Linked DNA regions of Caenorhabditis elegans. The protein of the gene in region 1 purifies or fractionates together with the protein of each later gene. This does not show direct contact. Each region holds a gene or a part of one and is shown in the gene's direction. Other genes may lie near its edges.

Region 1 (9,212 bases):
TTTTTAGACGAAAAAGCGCTGAAAACTCAGCGCCGAATTCGGCAACAATGAAAGTTTGAAGCTACAGTACTCTTTAAAAAAGCGAACACGCTTTTATTTAACGACAAATTGTCGAGTCGAGACCGATTACCGTATTTTCGGCTCTAAAATCGTCGTGTTATTACCATTAAAAAACTTACCATGCAGTAGCGAGATGATGACCATTTGGATGGAACGCAACTTTAGATACTCTTTGTGGATGTTGTTCTAGTTCTCCGATTGGTGATTCCTGGCTTAGCGACCATAGAAGAACGGTTCCTGAAATCACGAATTTTGAGAAAATTGAGCAAAAATCAGTTATATTTACCATCATACGAACACGAAACCACATTCAAAGAAGAATAATCATTCTGAGTAAATGCACCGGGATGAAAACGTGCACACCCTGCTTGAGATGAATGTCCAATAAATTTAATTTCTTGAGCACATTGTTCTCGCTTCCAAACTGCCACTGATCCGGACCAGCCAGCGGTAACTGAAGTTTTTGATTAGTTGGAAAGTTCTACTTAGAAAAAACAAACCAATATGTTCAGAATCTGCTGAAAATTCACAAAAAGCCACAGGGCGTGTGTCTGCAACTTGAGAAGCATGAAGATTGATTTGTTGAACCCATTTGTGAGCTTCTTGACGAGCCAAAGCTTTTTCGTGAGCAGGGCGAGCAGCTTCTTCTCGAGCTTTGTCAAGTCTTAATTTAGCTTTTCTTAGAGAAAAATCAGCGATTGAAACGCGTGCCATCCGAAGTTCAATCGGACCACGATGATACCAAGTAACGGTTTCTTCGTCTGCTTTATCAGCATTCACCTTCAAATTTTTAAATAATTTTTCAAACATTGAAAAACTTACTTCATCAGTATGCAAAACGGCTGCAATTTCATCTTCAGACATTGTTGAAAGTAGAGCTCTAAGTCTTTCTCTTCTATCCAATGCATCTTCTCCGAACAAACAAATTGGTTGGTTTAGAGCACGAAGTTTCAGTTTTACCTTTAAAATATATCTTCAAGTGGGTAGTTATTAAAAAAATTTTATTCATATGTATCAAAACTGTACCTGAACATCATCTGTTGGCAATGTGAGAGTTCTTGCTCTCCGTCTTCTATCAAATTCTGCAAACATTTCAGCATCGTGGCGTGAATCTGCTTGATTTGATACTTCCATTCGTTCCAAAGACACTGTGGGTCCATGGTTTTGCTGTTGTGCATTCTGAAATTTTAAATTAAAATTCAGAAAAAATAACATAGTCAAAGAATTCATGAAAAAAAACATACCAAGATTGCATTCACGCTTTCTGCATTCGCCAGTGATCCAAACTGTCTTGGCGGTGCTGGAACAGCAAAATTGCCATTTTCAGCCATTTTGTGTGCTCTTAAAAAATTTAATTACTTTAAAAACCACTGTAAAGAATATGAAGTTATATATTAGGACATTCAGAACGAAGATGTGAGACATAGGAATGGGCTTGTAGTTTTATTATAATTTATTATATTTAGTTGTGAAGTTTAAAACATTTTAAAGTGAACAAAGGAAAGAAAATGGCATAAAAGTTCAAAAAAAGCGGTGAAAATTCTTCGAAAGTGGGAACCAGTAATCGCGCTCTAATGATAATTTGAAGAAATCTGAGGTTCTCTCACTTCTTCTCGATTCATTTTCACCCTCATTTTTTTTTGATTATCTATTTTTATTGATTTTCCCACGATTCATTATCTTTATCTTCGAAATCTGTATTGTTTGAAGATTTCAGTCGATACGAAGTCGAATGGAAGCGTATTTCAAATGTGCTTCGTTTTGCTGTGCAAAGTTCTCATTACCCGTTTTTAAAATTTTCTCTGGTATCTCAATCGAGTTATTTTCTATTTCTAGGCATTAAAAATGAGAAAAATGAACTTAATAGTGGCTATGGATGCCGAAGGAGGAATTGGCAAAAATGGCGTGTTGCCATGGCGAATCAAGAAAGACATGCAGTATTTCGCGTCTGTTACCAAAAATGTTTCTGATCAGTCGAAGGTTGTTCGAGATTTCTAACTAAACTTGTAACATAACTTTTGTAGAGAAATGCAGTTCTCATGGGACGAAAATGCTGGGAAAGCATTCCAGTAACTCGCCGCCCGTTGGCAGGACGGCTAAACATTGTTTTGAGCCGACAACTTCCTGCGCAAAAGTCCGATGACTACATTGTTGTGTAAGCTGTCATGAAATAATATTTAACCTGTTGTTGTTACATTCAGAAACTCGCTCGAAGCGGCTATGAAACTACTTTCGGAGCCACCATTTGTGGATTCGATCGAAACAATCTGGAATATCGGTGGAGCTGAAATCTATGATCTTGCGTTGCGAGAAAACTTGGTTGATGAAATTCACTTGACACGTATTTTCAAAAAGTAGGGTGCTTGCACAGTTTTTTTACTCTGTCGTAATTTCAGCTTCGAAGCCGATGTTCATCTCAAGTCACTCGATTTCAGTAAAATGGAGAAAGTTCAAAATGCCGAGGTGTCATCGGAAAATTCAGAAATTTTCGAAGAAAATGGATTAAAGTTCGAATTTTGCAAATGGAAGGTTGTCGAGAACCACTGAATTTTTTTTTGAAATTGCTGTTTATTTTTTTAATTTATATGTATTCATTCACCTGTTGTTTACTCGGGCAGCCCACAATTTTCACGTGTAAATATAAAATCTGTACATGATTCTTATTACTATTAACTTTTTGTAATTCATCGTAAGTATGCGATGTTTGATATCTTATTTATTTCATTCCTTCCTTATTTTTTTAAAATTTATCCGTTCAGACGTCACAGCTTTAACTCTTCAAGAAAAGCGTAAGAAGTCTCGGTTAACTGGTATTTTGATGAAAAGTATGGCCAATAAAAAGGTGTGTTGATAAAGATAGTGAAATTCGACATATTTTTCCCTAGTTTCAGAACCATCAGCAAAAGAAAAGTACAGACGGGTCAACGATGAACGGGAATAACGCAACAGCAACTGCCGCTGCAACAACTCAGAATTCATCACAAATTGGACAAAATTCCAATTCCAGTCATAGCGTCACCAACGATAACACTTCCAGCAATAGTACGTATACACGTTTCTCACAAATCTGTTTTGAAATAACAAGGACGGCTGTTCCTAAATAGGTTTTAGAATTTTCTTGCAGCAATTGCAAATTAATTCAAAATTTTGTGTCTTAATTTCCAATGGTTCATTTAAATCGAGATTTTGGAGACCTTGGTCTTCACAATCTGTGCTTAAAAAATGACCCCGAAGAAAAGAAAGAAAGTGAATAGACGAGTACAGAACCGAGGAGGGCAAACATATATAATAAAAATAAAAAAGAGAAAGAGGCCACCAACACAGGCACGATGCCCCTTTTCCATCTCTTCCTCTTCTCTTTTCAATAAGCATCAAGGTGCGAAAGTCGATTTATTTATTATAACCCAAACTATTACATTTGATTTCCCTATTGATGTGATGAGTGATAAGCAATGACTTTTCTAGCATCTAAATTTTAACAATTAGATTGGAACGTCTATATTAATCATTTCATATTTATTGATTTAATTTTAGAATTTGATTTATATATATATATATATATATATATATTCAATGTCCTATTATTTCTATGTATTCTCTTCTGATTTTGGAATACTTCAACAAAATTCTCAAGAAAACGTTAAAATGAAACATAAAGGGTCTCTAAAATGCGGTAAGCAACAATGTAAATTTAAAGAAAATTCAACTCTCAAGATTCATAGAATTTATTTATATTCATTTCAGACGCTTCGACGTCTACATCGTCCATCACCTCAACTACCACTACGACCACTACAGTACCTTCTTCACAGCAGAGTCAATCTCAAAATCAATATTCACATCAAAGACTTTCATCGACTTCTTCAACGTCACAGCAAACTGGAATTTCTAAATTTCCTGCCAAAAAGGCTGGGCACAACGAGCTTGAGAAGGTAAGTAGGCGAAGATAAATTCGACTGAGTCTATCGTGCATAATTATTTCATATTTTAAAACACATGTTTTCTCAACCTGTTTATGATTCACTTGCAGACAAGCAACACTGCTAATTCACAATCGGGTGCTTTCAAAGGAACCACAAATAAAGATCGGCCGAAGGAAAAGGAGAAGTAATTAAATCAGTAACTAGTTAAAACAAATCCTTAGCTTTTGCTCGTTCAGAAACACTCACAGTGGTAATAGGCAAAGTCAGGTTAACCATAATCATCATCATTCAAACCATGTTAGCGGAAATCAGCAGAACCGAAAGAATAAGGTTTGTATAAACGTATAATTACGATAAAAATTAATTTTAATGTTAAGAATCGTGATCATTCGAACCAAAGTTATCGAGGTGGCTACACACATAACCACAATAATTATCACTCGTTGGAAAATGCTAAATCTTCTGGATTTCTGTCAAATTCTTCCCTATCCTCTGCGGGACAAATATCAGCGTCTTCTGCTCCTCCAGTGAGCACAACTCCGACTGCTATTCCCATCTTTCAAGAATCCAAAATAGTTCAAACAGATCCACCAGTCGAAGAAGCAAAAAAGAAGAAGGAAAAACCAAAAATCAAGCGTGATGAAGAGCCGATGCCATATAAGAGCACTGATCCGAAAAATATGGATTCTGTGATGGCATTCAAAGAGGTGATTCATAAATACAAGACATTTTAGTATTTATCATTTTTATTCAAACAAAATTTTTAAAAAGTTATTAGTTTTCAAAACGTAGTTTGGATTGCAGCACGATGAATGGGATAAGGTGGAGTTTATGTGTGAACTTGTTTCTTTCCTGTCTCCAACCGATCTTCGCCTGCTTGGAAATTGTATCGAAGGATCTGTTCGTTGCTATAACAATCAAATGCGGCCAGTAGAAAAGACTTCAAACTGTTCGGATCCAACAGCTGGTTTACCTCAATTCGTTTGCTCTCCTCCACCTCCACCGCAACAAGTTTATTATTTTCCTGGTATTGCGGATGCTGCCCTGTATCAAACAAGAAATGCAGTTAACTCGGTTTTTGTACAGCAACATCCACCTGGTCTTCCACCGTTATTAGGCGGAATGTATGCATTATTGTCGGTGAATTATAATTTAAAAATTTTTTATTTCAGGCAGAATATTATGTATCCACCTGATGCTAACTTTCATCATTCAACCTCTTGTACGACACCTTCATCATCAGTTTCCGTTGCAAATAAGGATGTTAACAATGTACCAGTTGTGCTATCAAGTAGTGTGAACGGAATAAGCAATAATATTCCATCAGATAGACAACAGCTAGATTCCAAACCAAATACTGCAAGAGGTAAAAAATCTTCATCATTATTTGACACAGTTAAAAAATGTATTTTACAACACAATTTCCCTCTCAAATTCGCAACATTTTTCAGGTTCGAGCGGCAATATCAACCAATCTAATACAACATCACCAGAACCGGAGCCCGGTTCTAATCACATCTCCACCACAGCAGCAAACCCTGCACATCCAACTTCAGTGACTGTACCACAGTCGGTACCACCGGTCCCTCAAGAACCAGAATTGTTTCTCAAATCTGTTCTCGATCTTACCAGTTACATATACACTCTCATGGCAGTTTGTTCATCAACAAATAGAAAATCAGCTGCTAAGGTGAATCAGAATACGACTTTAGATGGTATTTAATCGATTTATTTAAAGATCTCTGACTATGTTCAAAATGTTATTCTGAGAGAAAAGAGCCAAATACTCGAACGTATTCCGGATGAACTTGATAAAATTACCGTTTTACAAGAAATCGGTAAAATTGGTAAGTCTTCATTTCCGTGTTTTGGAGTATACTTTTTTGTTTCAGTCGCAGCCATGACTCATCACCCAGCAATTACTCTTGATGACAAAATGAAATATGCGGCTCTGCGGGACGGATTACGTGCTCAAATAGAAACATTGTTTAGACAATACTACACAACTCAGAAACAGTTGGAGCAAAGCAATCTTGTTGTACCATCATCACAAGCTGTTGGCGATGAGAATGATACTGATTCCGACCATGAATCAGAGGAAGAATTTGAGCCACTATCAGGTGTTATGGGTAAGCAATTAATTAATATTTAACAGAATTTTTCACATGCATTTCTAGAAATTTTTCGATAATTAGTCGATGAATTGAGTTCGGAACATTCCAACTAAATCACTGATAACATTCCGCATCTTTTTTTCAGGTTCGCGTTTCGAGAGTAATCCAGTTCAGCCGTCGCCATCAGTTCCGGGAACATTCTTTATCATTCGATTTATTGGACGACAAATTGAGAAGAACGATAATCTTTTCAGCCTGGAGGTAACACGCAACCTGAAGTTTCTGAAATCATAAAGGTTTTCAGATTCATTGGAGTGATGGTGACAGAACATTTGCTCAAAGATCTCGTGATCAATTGAAAGCTCTACAGCATCGTCTTCTTGATGAGTTCGGACAACAGAGAAGTGAAAAATATCTTCATCAAGGATGCACTACATCCTACTCTTCATTTGACGATGATAACAAAAAGCTTTCAGCGAGCACATCTACAATGGAGAGTATGTATTTTCAATTTATAGTCTCTAATTTACAATTTTTATTTTTGCAGCGTTTGCTCCAAACGGAGAGCGTATTGTTCCACGTCTTGCTCGTGATGCGACTCCAGCTCAATATGTTCAATACATCAATGAACTTTCTGACTTGCCAGCTAGAATGATGCTGTCAGCTGTAATATGTGAAGAGTTCAACGGTACCAGAGCGAAAACAGAAGATGTTAGTTTCTGATACTGTTCATTTCTAGATTGATTGAAAAGAACGAATCTATTCCGAAATAAAGCTATTGCAGGAAACTCGCGAAGCATCGGATGGATTAATATATTCTCGATGGAAGAATCCACGTGCCAAATCTCCAGTTCGTTACTTCAAACGAAATGCAACAGGAAGCATTGACCCGATTGAATTGCCTGTCAATATGCAACCATTCCTTTATTCAAATATCCCGCAAACACAAGTGCAGGTTTGATTTCGAATTTTCGTAAAATCTGAGAAATTTTCAATTTCTAGACGCTGTTCCCAAGTTGCTCTAATTGTGGCGGTCCTCACGCTCCGAAACACTGTGAAAAACAAACATTGTTATCGAAGAAAGGCATGTACAAGTTGAATTAGATGGCAATAATGAGAATAATCAATTATTAAGGTGATCATAGAACTCGTTCAGACGGGGAAGGTTCTCAGCAAAATGGTGGAACTTCCTCTTCCAATTCATACGCTCCAATTCATGCAAACCTCCCCCATGCAGTATACATTGAAAATCCGCAAGCAATGTTAGGATCAAATCACTTCAATCATCATCAACAACAGCACATAATTCAGAATACTATATTCCATAATGGTATGTATTAAACTTTTAAAAATTAGAATAATTGATTCAACATGACACAATAATTTCTCAGGTGGACAATTTCGTGCAAACGGAACATATGAACCGCAAATTCCGATAGCATACTATCATGCCCAGGGAACTGTACAAAACTCAAATAATACTGGTGGAGTCAACGGAAACAGTGGGGGCGGGAACCAGAATTCGAATTTCTGAGAGATGCTGAATTGCTGCTCCTTTTTATATCAATTCTTGTGATTTCGTAATAGTTTTCTTCTTTTTTTGTTCTTTCTTTCACCCAATTTTTTTTTCATTGTTTATGTTTAACGCTCACACATTTTAATTTTCATCGACACGTGTATTATTGAATTTCTCTGATCCATCACATCCCGATTGCCATCATCATCCTTAAAGCGACATTTTCTCGTTAGGTACGTACACGTGGTACAACTTCGTTTAAACTATAACAAATTATCACTGAAGTCTCGAAAAACGTTCTCTTTCTCTTCATAATTCACAAGCCAAGACCACCTGATTAGTTTTATTCAATTTTTTCTGTTTTCTATATTTCAAAATGCTGGTCATTTCTCTCTTTCGTTTAGGTATTCACTTTTTTAATTTATACATATTTTTGTTTATATATACATATATCTTTTTGACCACCCCGTCTTCCACCTTCAAGAATAATATCGTTGATTTCTTGTTTTTTTTGTAACCCTATCTCTCTCTCCCTCTCTCTTCCCTCTAAATTTTCTTTCATTTTCCCAATTATTTTAATTGTTTCTTAGGTGCGAAATGAACGGTGGAACTAAAAAAATATTTACAAAACTTTATGCTGATAGAGGAGAAAAACACAACATTTGGGATACAAAAAATTCGAGAATCGCTTCGTGAAATGATGACTCACACTAACATAAAATTTTACACATTTTTAAAAATGAAATACAAATGAAATAATTGAACAGTTTTTAAAGTATGCGACAACTAAGAAAATGCATTTGGAATTAATTATAATCGGGATTTTACAAATTGAAACCACGGAATGAATTATTAAAATCACCACTTTCGAAGATTATTTAGAAATGGAGTAAGTTGTTTCAGAAAAAAAAATGAATGGACCTTGTTACGTCATGTTCCCGATGGACACTTTTCTAGAATCGATTGAAAACTGAAAATGGCAGGAAATGACAATTTTGGATGAGGGTTCGGGAAGTAAAGGTAAAAAAAGAAAAATCAGATGATCCTGAGGATGAAAAGGCTTGATGAACAATTGGAAAATAGGCAAATTTCAGAAAGTTACAGACAAATTTGAATATATTGCAAAGCTTGGAAGACACTGTGTGAAAGAATTGATGATTTTTGGATGATTTGACATTATATAAATATTATTGAATTTAATAAAAAATTAGTTTAAAGGCACATTTGTATATCGTGTCAATGCACCATTAAATTTAGATTTTAATCAAGAAACAATAATATTTTTAATATGTACATATCTGATCAATATGATTTGAGGAAAATTAAAATGTTGAGCAAGAACACGAAACATGATAAAAATGTTGAAAACTCAAATTACTCGAAGAGATTGAGAATTAAAGTGAAAAATCGATATTTTTGGACGAATTCGATCCGTAGTGTTTTTGTTGAAGTTGGCGATATTGATATATGCATCCGCGAAATCTATTTTTGCCCATTTGGCTTGGTTCGGCTGAAATTTTTTTTTGGAATTGCCAAACTAGTTATGTTCAAATTATAATGCCCAATTTATTTTCAATAAAATTTAAATAGATTACCTAA
Region 2 (5,580 bases), on another chromosome or scaffold:
ATTTTTTCTTGTTCAATAAACTTTTAATCTGAAAACTTATTCAAGAATTCAACTTCGGTGAAGTCTGAGCATTTTTCAAATTTTTGCCCGAATGGCGCAATGGGTTTTTCCAGAACTACCAATCAGAATACCGGGGTTCGAGCCCGCGCTGTGGGGAATATTTTTTCTCGGCAGGGCTAAGGCAATTTCAGTGTGTTGTGTTCGAATTATAAAGTTAGAAAACATGTGTAAACTAGTTTTTCGCTATTTTTTGGAATTTTGACGCATTTTCGGAAAATTTTGGGTAAATGGCTCAGTGGGATTTTTCAGAACTTCCAATCACAAGGCCGCGGTTCGAGTCCGCACTGTGGTCGAAACTTTTTTTTCATTGTTTTGAAATGGTTAGTAAAGTAATTGCGAGATGCTGAGTTTAAATTCTAAAATTTTTTGAGCTTACAAGCAATTAAAAATCGTTTTTCATCACTTTTGAAAATCTTTATTCGAATGGCTCAGTGGGATTTTCCAAAACTTCCTATCACAAGACCGGGGTTCGAGTTTGCATCAAAACTTTTTATTTTCCCATAGTTTTCCACGTCTTTTGCAATGTGTAAAACCACTAAAAAAGTGATTAAAAATTCGAGGTGGGTGCCGACATCTCTCCTGATTTTCTCTCGATTTTCTCACCGAGCCGGAGCCAACTGTTGCCCAGTTTTTGATCTCTCAATCTGTCACACTATCTGCCGTGTGATACCTTTACTACAGAGATAGAGAAATAGGAAAAGTTGTGGGAAGAGGCTCGGAGCACAAGAAGAACCCGAGAATGTTTGCTCTTTTTGTGCTGATCATTTTTACCTCTTACCGCCGGCATACACACACACGCAGAGAGACGGCAAAAAGGTTTGCGGTAATCTGAGAATTTCAAAATGTTCTTCCCCATTCTTTTCTTCCACTGTTTTTTTTTCTAAATTTTAAGAGGTCAAGATCGAACTTTAAAGTCATTTTTGAACTTTGAAACTTGAAATTTTGAATTTAGACCCATCAATTACCCTATGCCCTATGAACGTAGCTTAAAAACCAAGAAAAAACTTTGACCACAGTGCGGACTTGAACCCCGGTCTTTTGATTGGTGGTTGTGGAAAATCCTACTGAGCCATTCGGGCAAAATTTTGAAAAATGCTGAATTTGTGTAATTTTGGGCCTTTGATTCTATTGGAAAAAACATTTCAAAAAAAGGAAATTTCAGCCTTTCAATCTCAATAACTTTTAGCTTTGAGTCGAAATTCAATATACTCATGCTAAATCAGGGGTGCGAATTCGGCAAACCGGCAATTTTCCGGTTTGCCGATTTGTCGGAAGTTTTCAATTCCGGCAAATTGCCAATTTGTCGTTTGCCGGATATCAGATTTGCGGGGAATGTTTAGAGGATTTTTTTTTCAAAAGACGAAAACACTTAAACCTGTGCCCTTTTTAATTTTTTCCCGATTATAATTAAAAATCTGAAATTCCCAAAAAAAATGTGCAAAACCACAATTTGCAGAAAATTTCCGGCATTCCCCGTTTTTCTGGCAAATTCGACAAATCGGCAATTCCAGCAGTTTGCCGATTTGCCGGAATCGTTTGCCGCCCACCCTTGCCCTAAATTACCCCTGCCCGCAGTATTTCAAGATTACTATGGAAAATGTGGTCAAATCTATTTTCTTGGGTTACTGTAGCTTGGTGTTTGCGTACCCAACACCGATTTTGACAGAATTTTGCACTAACGTTTGAAAATTGGGCCATCCGACTAATTTGACGATACAATTCAAATTTTTGAAATTTGAAGTATTTTCATCAAGTTTTGAGCTCTTTGAGCTTGTCAGATTTTCCAAATTACTTATTTTTATTGAAAAATATTGATTTTTTCCGATTTTATTTTTCTTTCAAGTGCGTTCCAAGTAAAATCCGGTACATTTTTAGTTGAACCTCATGGGAATTGCTTCTTGCAAACAACTTTGAATGACATTTTTGACTTGCACTCTTTTTTTGGTGAAATTTTTGGATGGGGAAGAAGAAAACGAAAAAAGAGCGAAGAACAAACTCATTTTTGGTGAAATATCTTATTAGGTTAAACTGGAGGAACTTTTCTTCGTTTTTTTGTGAAATTTTTTTTGAAATTTGGGGTTTTTCCGCTGTTTCAATTTTTCCCAGAGTTTTGAAATTTGAGTTTCAATTTTTTTTTGCATGCTCAAAATCTTTTTGGTAAAAATTTCATTTTAAAAAAATTGCAAAAAAACCTACAATTTCGAATTTTAACAAGATTCAGACTTAAGCTATTATCTATGTCTGAAATCCCAATTTCTAACAATTTTTGAGCTTTAAACCTTTAAAATTCAGATTCAGCACTTTTTATTACCTAACAAGCAACGAAAAAAAAATCGACCACCGTGTGGACTCGAACCCCGGTCTTCTGCTTTGTAGTTCTGGAAAATCCCACTGAGCCATTTGAGCGAAATTTCGAAAATGCCGGAAATTGTCACAGACATTATTCTTGGAATTTTTCGTGATTTTGTATGCTTTAACTTTTTTTGTAACTAATATTGAACGCTTTAATTTTAGTCTTTTTTTTTGTTGATAAAAATTGAAAAAAAATCGAAATTTTCACAATTTTTTTTGTATTTCTTTAAACTTACTATTAAATCCCAATTATTCTACTTTTTAAAATTTTCTTCACAAATTCGCCCACAAAACCTTTTTATAGTCCAGCACAAGCAATGTACCCAGAATATGGGCTGGACGTGGACGAATTCAACCTTGTGCTCATTATTTTCTCGGCCACAGTCGTATTTTTCGCCTTAATCGCCTTAATTTTGATGTACTGCACAATGAGTTGTGGTTGCTGCAGACGAAAGGAAAAACGAAGAAAATTGAGCAATATTCCACAGGTTATGGTTACTCAGCATAGAGACAAGTGAGTTTTTATTGCTAAAATTAGACCGAAAATTGAAAATTTATTTTGTGCAAAATCTCGTCAAATCTGATGTATGGCACTCAAATATCAAGCTACAGTAATCCAGAATACTAGATTTCACGAAATTAAAAAAAAGACCAAAACCTTAAAATTGGGGAATAGGGGTAATTTAGAGTGAGGATTTTGAATTTCGCCTCAATTTTAAAAATGATTAAGAGTGAAAAGCTGAAATTTCAATTTTCAGAAATATTTTACCCATAGAATTAAATATATTAATACCTAATATGACCGCAAATCGGCAAACCGGAAAATTGCCGGTTTGCCGAATTTGCACCCCTGATTTAGAATGAGTATATTGAATTTCAACTCAAAGTTAAAAGTTATTGAGATTGAAAGACTGAAAATTCCTTTTTTGGAAATATTTTTCCCATAGCATTAAAGACCCAAAATTACACAAATTCAGAATTTTTCAAAATTTCGCCCAAATGTCTCAGTAGGATTTTCCATTACCACCAATCAGAAGACCGGGGTTCGAGTCCGCACTGTGGTCATACTTTTTTTTTGGTGTTTAAGCTATGTTTATAGGGCAATCTATGGGCGCTGAATTCAAAATTTTCAGTTTTAAAAATATATTCAAAACTTTTGAGAGTTGAAAAGTATGACAACTTCAAAATATTTGGATTCTGATTTGAAATTTTGATTCCACGTGACAAACTGCACCTATTCCCAAAATTTCTGAATTTTAGTGCAAACCCACTTGAAATTTGGTGTCTGGTAGGGAAATACCAAACTACAGTAACCCGGACACAAAACTACAGTAGAGTATTTTTGAATTGAAATTTATAATTTTTTACTTCTGAAAACTATAAAAAATTCGAATACTCAAAATTTTAGTAGAAATTCGAACTCCGCGTGGCAAAATACATATAACTCTTAAGTTCCAAAAACTTTGTTCAAAACTCTAGGAAATCAAGTACAGTAGTAACCCGGGACACCTGATTTTACGACATTTTGCACTGAAAATTTTGAAAATTATAGTTAGGGGGGATTGTAGAAACTATGTAGCAACCTAGGATCCAAAATCACATTGATTTTTTTGTCAAAATTTATTATTTCAAACAAACTTTTTTTGAAATTTTATGGACAATATCGTTTGATGCCGAGTGTGGTCTAGGGATAATTTTAACGTAAATTCCGATTTCCAGCTCTAAATTTCAAATTTCAAACTTCCAGAATCCATTTTTTGTTTCCAGAACACCCCTATCAATTGACTGCCCAGATTTGGATTACATCGACGCTCGCAACACAAATCTTGTTTCATCAACAGTTCAAGTGGAGTCAGTTCATCAAACCCCAACTCTTTCATAATTTTTGATTTTTTTACTTTTTCCAATGCTTTTATGTGTTCAAAAAATATCATATTTGCTACATGTTTCTAGAAAAAAAATTTTGGATATAAATTTGCTTATTTTGCTAAAATCTCAGAGAATTCCAAAAAATTCAGCCATTTCCAATCAATTTCAAAAAAGTTCAGAAAGCATTTCAGAGCCATTTGAGAAAATTTCAAAAACGCAATTTCCAATTCATTTCAAAAAATTTCAGGGAATATTTGAAAATTATTCGATGATATTACAAAAATCTCAAAAGCATTGCGGTATGTTTTATAGAATCAAAAAACCTTTCAGGAAATTGTCAATGATTAGAGAAATGTTAATACTAATTTAGAGAAACTTGATGAAAGTTTAAGCAGGCCCAGGAATTTTCAATAATAATAGTCAAGTCAAGAAAAGGTGTAAAATTTCAGAAAATTTGAAAATATTTGTAGAATTCTTAACAAAATTTTTTCTAATTTTTGGGAAGAGTTCTGAATTTTTTAAAGGAATTTTTAATGGTGGAGTAGCGTCTGTGGGTTTTTTTGCCCTAAATGACAGAATACAGTCCCAATATACCGAATTTAAAAACATTTTAATTTTCTAAACTTTTTATGATTTTTTCAAAAAAAATCCCGCGCAAATCTGTGACGTCATTTTTGAAATTTTTGCGTTTAAAGGCCAAACTAATTGGTTTTTCTATATTTTTTTTCAAAAAATGAATCAAGATAGAATGAATGACAGAAATTGTTTAGGTGCTCGGATGGGTCACTCTCGCAGAAGAGGTAGGCGGAAAGGAGACAGTTATATGGTGTGCGTCTTTCCACACGTTCACCTCCTTGGCGTCACTCTCTTTGTAAACGCCGTCTTCTTATCGAGGACCATAATTTTTACAGCATCGCTATATTCACCTCTTCCTCTTGTGCAAGTCGTGTTGTGCTTGCCAGTTGGCATCCCCAGTTCATCTCCAGATGTTATCGCGTATGGTCAAAGAAATGGTATGTATTAAATATGTACCAAGTTTGCTTATGTAGCAACTATCTACCATCATTATGGCTTGAATTTCGTCATCTCCAATCTTTATGGCATTGTACATAGACTAAAACATTTTTCCAAATATTTCATAGTGTGTTCATCTGGTAAATTTCCTAGCCGGATGGGTGAGCCTTTGGGTTGAGGTGGAATTGAACTTGCGATTTTTTGGATGACAGTGCTACTACCACTCAGCCACCCGTGCCCGTGTAATAATTCTTACTTTTTTTCAGGCTCAAATTTTTAAAAATT
Region 3 (7,820 bases), on another chromosome or scaffold:
ATCGTTGTGTTTCCGTTCCATTCTGTTCAAATATATTAGCGACATGACATATGCTCTTTCAATTTCCAATCGTTTTGGTACATGTATGTATGTGTTATTCGTCATAGAGCACCGGTGTCTCCCTCACTTTCCTTTTTTCTGCCGGTCTAAAAATGTTTTCATTTTGTAGCTGAGGTCCAGCTTTTGTCGTTCATTCCTTGTTTTTCTACCTCTGACCCTTTTCTAACCAAATCTTCATTTTCTCATTCATTTTCTCATTACCTCATCCTTTTTGACTCTGCCCCCATTGCATTTTGTTTTCTTCATCGTTTCCTTTTCTGGGTTTTTTCCGGTTTGCTCGTAGAAGAAAATATTCTGAAGAGCTCTTTGACTTCTAATTTGTTGACCCCCGAAAAATTCATATTCAATTACCAATGGCCATTGAGTCTTTTGACTTTTACTTTTTAGTTATGTTTCCCTAATGCACATTTGTTTAATCATAAATTCATTCCAATACCAATAAAAAACTAGATCAAGTCCACGATCGAACGATCAAACTTAAAGTCTTAGGGAACAGTATATAGAAAATGGACATGCTCTTTTTCAATAAATTTAGAAAACAATTTATGAAAACTGACTAATCAAGAGCCATGCCTTCTCCCTTTTTTACACTTTTCCATAGTTTATATCAACACATTGCATGGTATACAGATTGATATTTGCGATTGAATAAAATAAACATTTGAAGGTGTAAACTGGTCAGTTTGCTCTTGCTCATTCTGCTATTTGGTTTTACCCTTTTTTTCAAATTGATAAGACTTCTTTAAATTAGAAGTTTAATTTTTTGAAAAGATTTGTTTCCAAATAATGCTTAATTAACGTATAAATGGAAACATACTTTTTTTTCAAAATTTAAGGATATAGTACACAAATACATACTGCTTCAGAATGTTCAACCATTTAAGGATACATTTGATTCAAGTAATTTTAATAATTAATTTTTTTGTTTGTATGTAATTTATACAAATCAGAAAATGTTGGTCGTTTACAGATTGAGTCATCTTATTGTTTTTAATCATTGATCTTCGTGACAAAAATGCCGCTCGTTTCCCAAAAATCTATTCCCTTTTTGGAATACGCCATCAAGGCGGATTTTCAATCTTGAAGTATCATTTCCTGAAGTTTTGATATAAGAATAAAATATTATAATTGTAAACTTTATTGATTACAAATCGATTTTGAAGTTGATATTCTTGTTTAACATTTTAATCCTGAAAACACATTAACAAGAAACGTGCTTCATTTGCGCTAAAGTTTTTATCTTTGAAAAAGTCAATGGACTAACATTTTTAGCTACCTGCTTTTAACTACTATTAAGCTTAAGCGATTCGAAAAATTACGGTCTTCACGTCTGTCACTGTGAAACTCTTTTTCTCCTATTTGTAATGTTCTTCACCTAATAAACTGGTGGTTGTATCGATTTGTTGTTCGTCTTCCTTTCCAATACGAATCTGATTGTTATTGTTCAAAAAAGGAACATTTTTATTTCCTCTCGGCTGACTCCGTGCACACTGTCTATTCCTCCCTATTCACAAGCATTAAAACATTCTTTGTTCGTGTCCACCGTTGTCTATTTTTTTTGCCTTCTGCTAAAAGCTCTTTCAGATGCATGAATCTATGAATTTAGGTGTCTCGATTTGGTGCGAGACCCTATTCTCACAGTTGAAGACATTTTCCGCCTTTTTTTATGGGGCCCATGCCTCTCTCAAATATCATTTGTTTATTCCATTTTGCGTATTACCGCTATTCAGCCACACGAACCCTCTAGTGCATTCGTTGCTCATTTTTCGAGTGAGACTAATGGACTACTACTAGATGAATAGGAAAATGAAAATGGAAGAATCCTGAGCTCTCTTACATGAAGAATGACAACGTATAAAAAAGTCAAAGGAAAGGAAAGGTGCTCAAGCTAGATGAGAAGAATAAAAGGAGGTCACAAGGGGTGGGCACTCGGTAAATCTCAAATCTGGTGGGAATGGATGGTAAAATCACAAGAATGAAACGACGTTCCGCTCTTGAGCCCATCGTGAGAAACAACACTGGATGGGTTAAATGTGGAGTCCGGTCTTAGCTCCCAAGTTTGTTGCACATTTTTTCCTTCCCTTCCTTTCCATCCTCTTATTCGCATTTTTCTTGTTTCCGACATAGTCTACACCTCAATATATTCTATTGTTTTCGACTTTCTTAATTAGTTCTCCACCCAATTCCCCTTGGGACAAGGCGGAGCACATCACTCTGCTACAAGAAGATGCTCGGCCATGAAAAATGAATATTGCACCTTCTTCCTCCTTCTACTTTTTTATTTTTTGACTCATTTTCCGGTTATATTCCTTGCCACATTTTTCCATTTATCGATAATCCATTATCACAGTTTAGTTACCTTGTTAGTTTCGCGAGGGATTTGAAAACAAATCTCTTGGCTCTGTTTTTGCTCTTATTTTTCAATGGGAATGCTAATCCGATTCACAGCGTTTTTCCAGGAACATTTGCATTCTTCTCACATTTAAACAAGTCCTGGAACACCACAGTGGTGTTAGTACACAATTCAAGCTGAAACGATCACAGGACCTCATCTCCGTACACGAAGCCGAATATGGTTCGGCTCAGCAGGCGAAGGTAGGTGACTTTTTAGAAATTGAAAGCAATTCGTTGGTACTAAAACCGAGGGCAGTACAAGAACATTAGCATGTGCTTGTAATAAGCCATGTAATTGTTATTCCCTTTTTTTGCTCATAATAGGTAATGCAAATTTGCAATAGATTTTTTAATTGCCACATTCCCGTCAGTAATTTTCCTGGCAAAGAAAAGGAACACAATCTGATCAATCATAAAAAAGAAAGGTGGTTTACAATTCTAAATAAATACAAATGGATAATGCATCTGGTTTCTGTAGAAATAGTGACGTGAACGTTGTTAAGTATGTTCAACAATTGATTTTCTCAAGTTGTCAGAAATATTTAAGTTGTTGCTTTTCCAAATGTTAAGCAGAGAAAAAACAACACTTTTAGTTAAAACAAGCTTCCCAAAACTAAGTTTTATTACATATTGTCTGAATTCACAGGTTAACTGATATGTTTCGAACGATTTTTTAGAAGCAATCACGTGCAATTTTGAGATTATTCTTTCTAGATTAGTCTTTCATATTGATTCTTTCTGAAAAATTGAACTTTGTCAAAACACAGAAATGTTTAAAACAGTCCTTGCAGAAAGCACTCATGTGCTTACCAACTGCGACTCCTCAGACATCCTTGCTTTACTCTCAACAAATGCCTATGAAAAACCTATACTCGCAGTTCCCGGCAGGTTTATTAGACGTAGGTTGATCGGATATTGTGCAACTCAATAATTCATATACCTGTGTTCAGACACAGTCGATTCAATCCTTGGACACATGTCCTCTGCTTCTCCAGACCGCCAGCCTTCCTTCTTTGTCACACATCGGTCTTCCACACTCTTTGGTTTGTTCATTTGCCCATTTCCGCTTATTTCGCACCCTTCTTTCCCCCTTTAGTTACCCTTTCCTCTCGCGCCAATCTTTTTGTCCGATCGAAATACATTCAACTAGTACGGATTCTCATTTGGCAAATGCAATTGTGTTGCAGGAATCAGCCGTGTTGCACTCAGCCTCGGAGCCGCCGATGGAGATGCGAATTGATACAAGCAGTGAGTGTAGATTTGCAGATTTGGATGAAAAGTGTGAAAAATGAATTTGTTTGAATCAAAGATCCTATCAATCTTTATTTTTCAATTACTTTTCTGGCGCCGTATTGGTGTCAGGTCATAAGTCAAAATAGCTGTGAAAAAATATGAGACCAAAAAAAGAAGATAAAGATAAGTCATTTGATTGACCTTATCAATCACACAGACGGATTCACTTTTTTTTTTCAAAACCGTTCTGGGTGTTATTGTATTCTTTGGTTGTTCTTATCACCCTTATCAGACAATTCGAGGTTGTTTAGCCTCATAGCTGCTAACCGTTTTTCTTGAAAGTCACACGTTTTTTATCGTTTTTTATGTTCCGTGGTCAAGAATTGGAAAATATGAAACTGACGACCAAGATGAGATGAAATGAAACCATGCGTGCCAGCACTAAAAAAGAAGAAGATTAGCAATGCAATATCATTTCTTTGCTTCTTTTCAGAGCATTTTCATGTTTTTGTCGGGGATTTGAGCAAGGACGTGAGCAATGAGCTTTTAAAATCAACGTTTACAAAATTCGGAGAAGTCAGGTAAATTTGAGGATAAAATACTTAATTTTGCTTGAACACGTTAACACTATACAAAAGAGTTCGAATCAAAAAACAAACAACACCCTCGTCATTTGGATTTAAAAAAACTTACATAACTTATTTTTTTGAGTAACTAGCAATTTTCCATAAAAATTTTTAAAAGAGTATATCGAAACCGTACTTGGCAAAAAAATATCATCATTCCCAAACCGAAATTTAATAAATTTTATGACAAAATATTGAGCAAAACTGAAAGCAATATTCTCCAACCATTGTTAGATTTTTTACCCAATCTTGACATTTATACCGCGGAAGTATTTTTTTCAGTGAAGCTAAAGTGATTCGAGATGTTCAGACTCAGAAATCAAAAGGATACGGATTTGTGTCATTTCCCAACAAACAAGTTAGTTTCTCTCTGTTTTTTTTACGAAGCCCATTGGTCCTATTTATTTTCGTCGAGAAAACTGAGCCTTGTTTTTAGAATGCAGAGAACGCGATAGCCGGAATGAACGGAAAATGGATTGGGAAACGAGCTGTGCGGACCAACTGGGCGGCACGAAAAAACAGCGAGGAGAATCGCGACAAGCTGACTTTTGAACAGGTGAGATGTTGTAACGTTAAATCTCAATAAAACATGACAGCTCCAGGTGTTCAACTCAACGAAAGCCGATAACACGTCAGTTTATGTTGGGAACATAAGTCAACAGACTACAGGTTAGTTATAGGTAGACAGTGTACTTCATATCAGTCATTAAAAAGGAAATAAATAGAGTTTAAGTTTTTGAAATAAAGAAAACAATCTTTAGAATTACATCTATAGTTTCTTCTGAAATTTAAAGAATTGGGAAATTTGCATTAATAGAGAGACCGTATACTGCTCCGGTAACCAATGGTGAAAGTTGTAGTAGCGCTAGTGGGTAAATTGCTAAAAACCAGTTCCATGGGGACTAAATGGCCAAATATTATGGCCAAAAAAATAGTAAAACTTTCCAAAAATTGTTTTGAAAATTTTTTATTGGCAGTTCGCGATCGCTTTAAGTCACTTTTATAGAAAACTACGCACTTTTATAGAAAACTACGCAATCAAACGAAAAAAGTAATTTTACAAATTAAAAAAAATACTTTTACTGAAATATTTCGTCATTGTGGTTCCATATGCATGTTTCAAAGCAATTTCCCCATTGGCTCTACTCCGCAGTGAAACATCGAAGTTTATAATTGTTATAAATTTTATTTGACAAATAATATTGGAAACTTAATTGAAACGTTTATTTTTTTTAGAATTTTTCCAAATCATACTAATATTTTTGATATAGGTTTTCCGTGAAATTTAATTTTTTAAAGTAAACTAGTGTTATTGAGCATTTGGATAATACAAACTGATTTTTAAGAAGTAAGTTGACAGGCGTTGTAATTTTAATTTTGCTAATTTCGCAATGCACATCTATGATACATCTTTGAACAAATTAATAGCAATAGTTTTAAAAAGTTAATGCTCTATCTGATACATTTTACTTGTACTGGTTAAAATGGTATTTTTGCAGGCATTTTTTAATGTTTACAATCAAATTAAGACACTGTAGTTGTTGACAAAACATAAAACCATTAAAAGATCATTTCAATTTCTCGAATGGCCTTATTCGGTAACTTTCCCATAGTTTATTAACAGAGTAAACCAGTTCCATGTCTTTATCTCATTAACAAACTTTCTAACGGATATGAGGCTATCATCATTTTTCCTCATCACATCCTACTGCTTGACACTTCCGCCTGGTAGACAGTGAGAACGTCCCATGAAATTTGATAAATGACTTTCTGCCTTTTATCCTATCACTGCCATATGTTATATCTATGTACATATTTTTATAGACGCTGATCTCCGCGATTTATTCTCAACATATGGTGATATAGCGGAAGTGCGTATTTTCAAAACCCAAAGGTACGCGTTCGTCAGATATGAGAAAAAAGAGTGTGCCACAAAAGCAATAATGGAGATGAATGGAAAGGAGATGGCTGGAAATCAAGTCAGATGTTCCTGGGGAAGAACTCAGGCAGTGGTAATAAATAATCAGTTATCAAATGCTTTGAAAATCACAGTATTTAATTTGCAGCCTAATCAAGCATTAAATCCTCTCCCAATTGATTTGTCATCCTTGATGATGCCTACAATGCTTCCAACTACAATCCCACTAATTCAAAATCCCTTCTTGAACTACGAGCCAGCCACTCTTTTGTACAGTTCCTTCCCACAATGGTGATTAATTTATTAAGACTCTTTAGGAAGAAAATGAAACGCAAAAGGAATAATGAGTCAGAACACGGTTACTTTTTCAAATTTCAAAATATTTAAATTTCCGCTTTTTTGTGAGTGATTCAATGTTTTTTTTTCTTTTTTCGAGTTTCCGGTGTTTCATTTTCCATCACAGTTTTCTTCCTACAAATAGAGGTCCGAGTACATTTTTTCTTGTTCATTTTTAACTTTTCTTCCCGTCTGATGTTTCCTGAGTGGTTCTTTTTACTTCTTTTCTGTCATTTTCCTGCTATTCATATTTTCACATTTTTCACAGAATGATAATCATTTTTGTTTGTGCAAAGGGATTTTAATAAATTATTACAATGGGATAATTGAATGAAAGTTCAAAAGCTGTGTATGTGTGGGAAGGATAGAGAAACATAGAGAGAACTAAAGCATTATGCTATTAATGTTTCAAATCATCATGACTAAGAATGTTCACGTAACAATTTATCTGCTTGACAACACTTTTAGATTATTTGCGAAATTTTTTTTTCAGAAAATTTCAATTCCAAATTACTAAGAAAAAGTTTCAAAACTATTGTTCATTTTACACGTGTCTGCACTTTCAAGATGTTTTCCGGTGATCTCATGATTTGAATAATGTGTCCACCTACACTCATTTTTGTTAGGGTCAGCAAAGTGGTATTCCAAAAACCAAAAACCTGATACTTTGCATTGTCGAATAAAATTGAAATTAAATTTTCAAAGTACAATGTCCTTCTAGGGGCCCACCCATTATTTCATGCGTCATAAGAGTCTGTATGTCTGCTACCAACTATCAGATATAAAGTGACTGTATCTTAACTATACAGCATACTGATTTCACAAATCACTGTGGTCTACCACTATACCATTCTGTAATCTTCTACTACTACTGCTGCCTCCTCCTGACAAGGTCATTGATATCCTACTTTGCCCGCCCACCCCCGGGAGACCCATCGATTCCGAAAAATCACTGCTAGTGTCCTATTCAAACTTGGCGCATGTCTATCATTCAGGCCCATATGTCACTGTCCTTATCACTCGCTCTTTTTTCACTTCTCTTTTTCCAAATACCGACCACTGATGCAAAAAGCGTAAGGGATAATAGAACTTAATGATATATCTTTACTTTCACTACGTTCATCTTTTCAGATCACCGTGTCAGTAAAGGAATACACAGGAATCAGAAGAAATGAAATTCGTGGAGTCGAAAATCAATTCTATTACTTCCAGTTTTGCACATGTCCATCAACATTTACTGAAAGAAACTTTAA

The links.
Region 2: the proteins of gls-1 (region 1) and F48F5.6 fractionate together in Caenorhabditis elegans (co-fractionation; one large-scale study listed by BioGRID). This does not show direct contact.
Region 3: the proteins of gls-1 (region 1) and rnp-9 fractionate together in Caenorhabditis elegans (co-fractionation; one large-scale study listed by BioGRID). This does not show direct contact.

Annotation. Positions count from the first base shown.
Region 1 is NC_003279.8:8,734,317-8,743,528, forward strand, and holds gls-1 (Germline survival defective-1), read left to right. Parts: upstream 1-2,755; coding exon 2,756-2,902; intron 2,903-2,951; coding exon 2,952-3,102; intron 3,103-3,804; coding exon 3,805-3,992; intron 3,993-4,090; coding exon 4,091-4,167; intron 4,168-4,219; coding exon 4,220-4,313; intron 4,314-4,360; coding exon 4,361-4,690; intron 4,691-4,787; coding exon 4,788-5,107; intron 5,108-5,155; coding exon 5,156-5,349; intron 5,350-5,434; coding exon 5,435-5,673; intron 5,674-5,721; coding exon 5,722-5,830; intron 5,831-5,875; coding exon 5,876-6,112; intron 6,113-6,242; coding exon 6,243-6,358; intron 6,359-6,401; coding exon 6,402-6,594; intron 6,595-6,644; coding exon 6,645-6,808; intron 6,809-6,872; coding exon 6,873-7,052; intron 7,053-7,099; coding exon 7,100-7,181; intron 7,182-7,232; coding exon 7,233-7,427; intron 7,428-7,488; coding exon 7,489-7,631; 3' UTR 7,632-8,232; downstream 8,233-9,212. Other genes in the region: prp-4 (Pre-mRNA processing factor 4 (PRP4)-like domain-containing protein), read right to left, coding at 180-297, 347-514, 561-840, 883-1,020, 1,087-1,239, 1,305-1,391; dhfr-1 (Putative dihydrofolate reductase), read left to right, coding at 1,906-2,040, 2,085-2,215, 2,262-2,414, 2,457-2,607. UniProt on the Caenorhabditis elegans protein: Required maternally for germline survival by forming a maternal complex with gld-3. During hermaphrodite development forms a complex with gld-3 which promotes the sperm/oocyte switch freeing the translational repressor fbf to turn off sperm promoting factors.
Region 2 is NC_003283.11:20,447,096-20,452,675, reverse strand, and holds F48F5.6 (uncharacterized protein), read left to right. Parts: upstream 1-2,716; 5' UTR 2,717-2,729; coding exon 2,730-2,926; intron 2,927-4,179; coding exon 4,180-4,294; 3' UTR 4,295-4,401; downstream 4,402-5,580.
Region 3 is NC_003284.9:10,164,799-10,172,618, forward strand, and holds rnp-9 (RRM domain-containing protein), read left to right. Parts: upstream 1-2,506; 5' UTR 2,507-2,655; intron 2,656-3,245; 5' UTR 3,246-3,254; coding exon 3,255-3,353; intron 3,354-3,404; coding exon 3,405-3,497; intron 3,498-3,641; coding exon 3,642-3,702; intron 3,703-4,180; coding exon 4,181-4,268; intron 4,269-4,595; coding exon 4,596-4,671; intron 4,672-4,749; coding exon 4,750-4,869; intron 4,870-4,915; coding exon 4,916-4,982; intron 4,983-6,137; coding exon 6,138-6,325; intron 6,326-6,379; coding exon 6,380-6,526; 3' UTR 6,527-6,895; downstream 6,896-7,820. Other genes in the region: C07A4.2 (SCP domain-containing protein), read left to right, coding at 7,548-7,640, 7,699-7,820.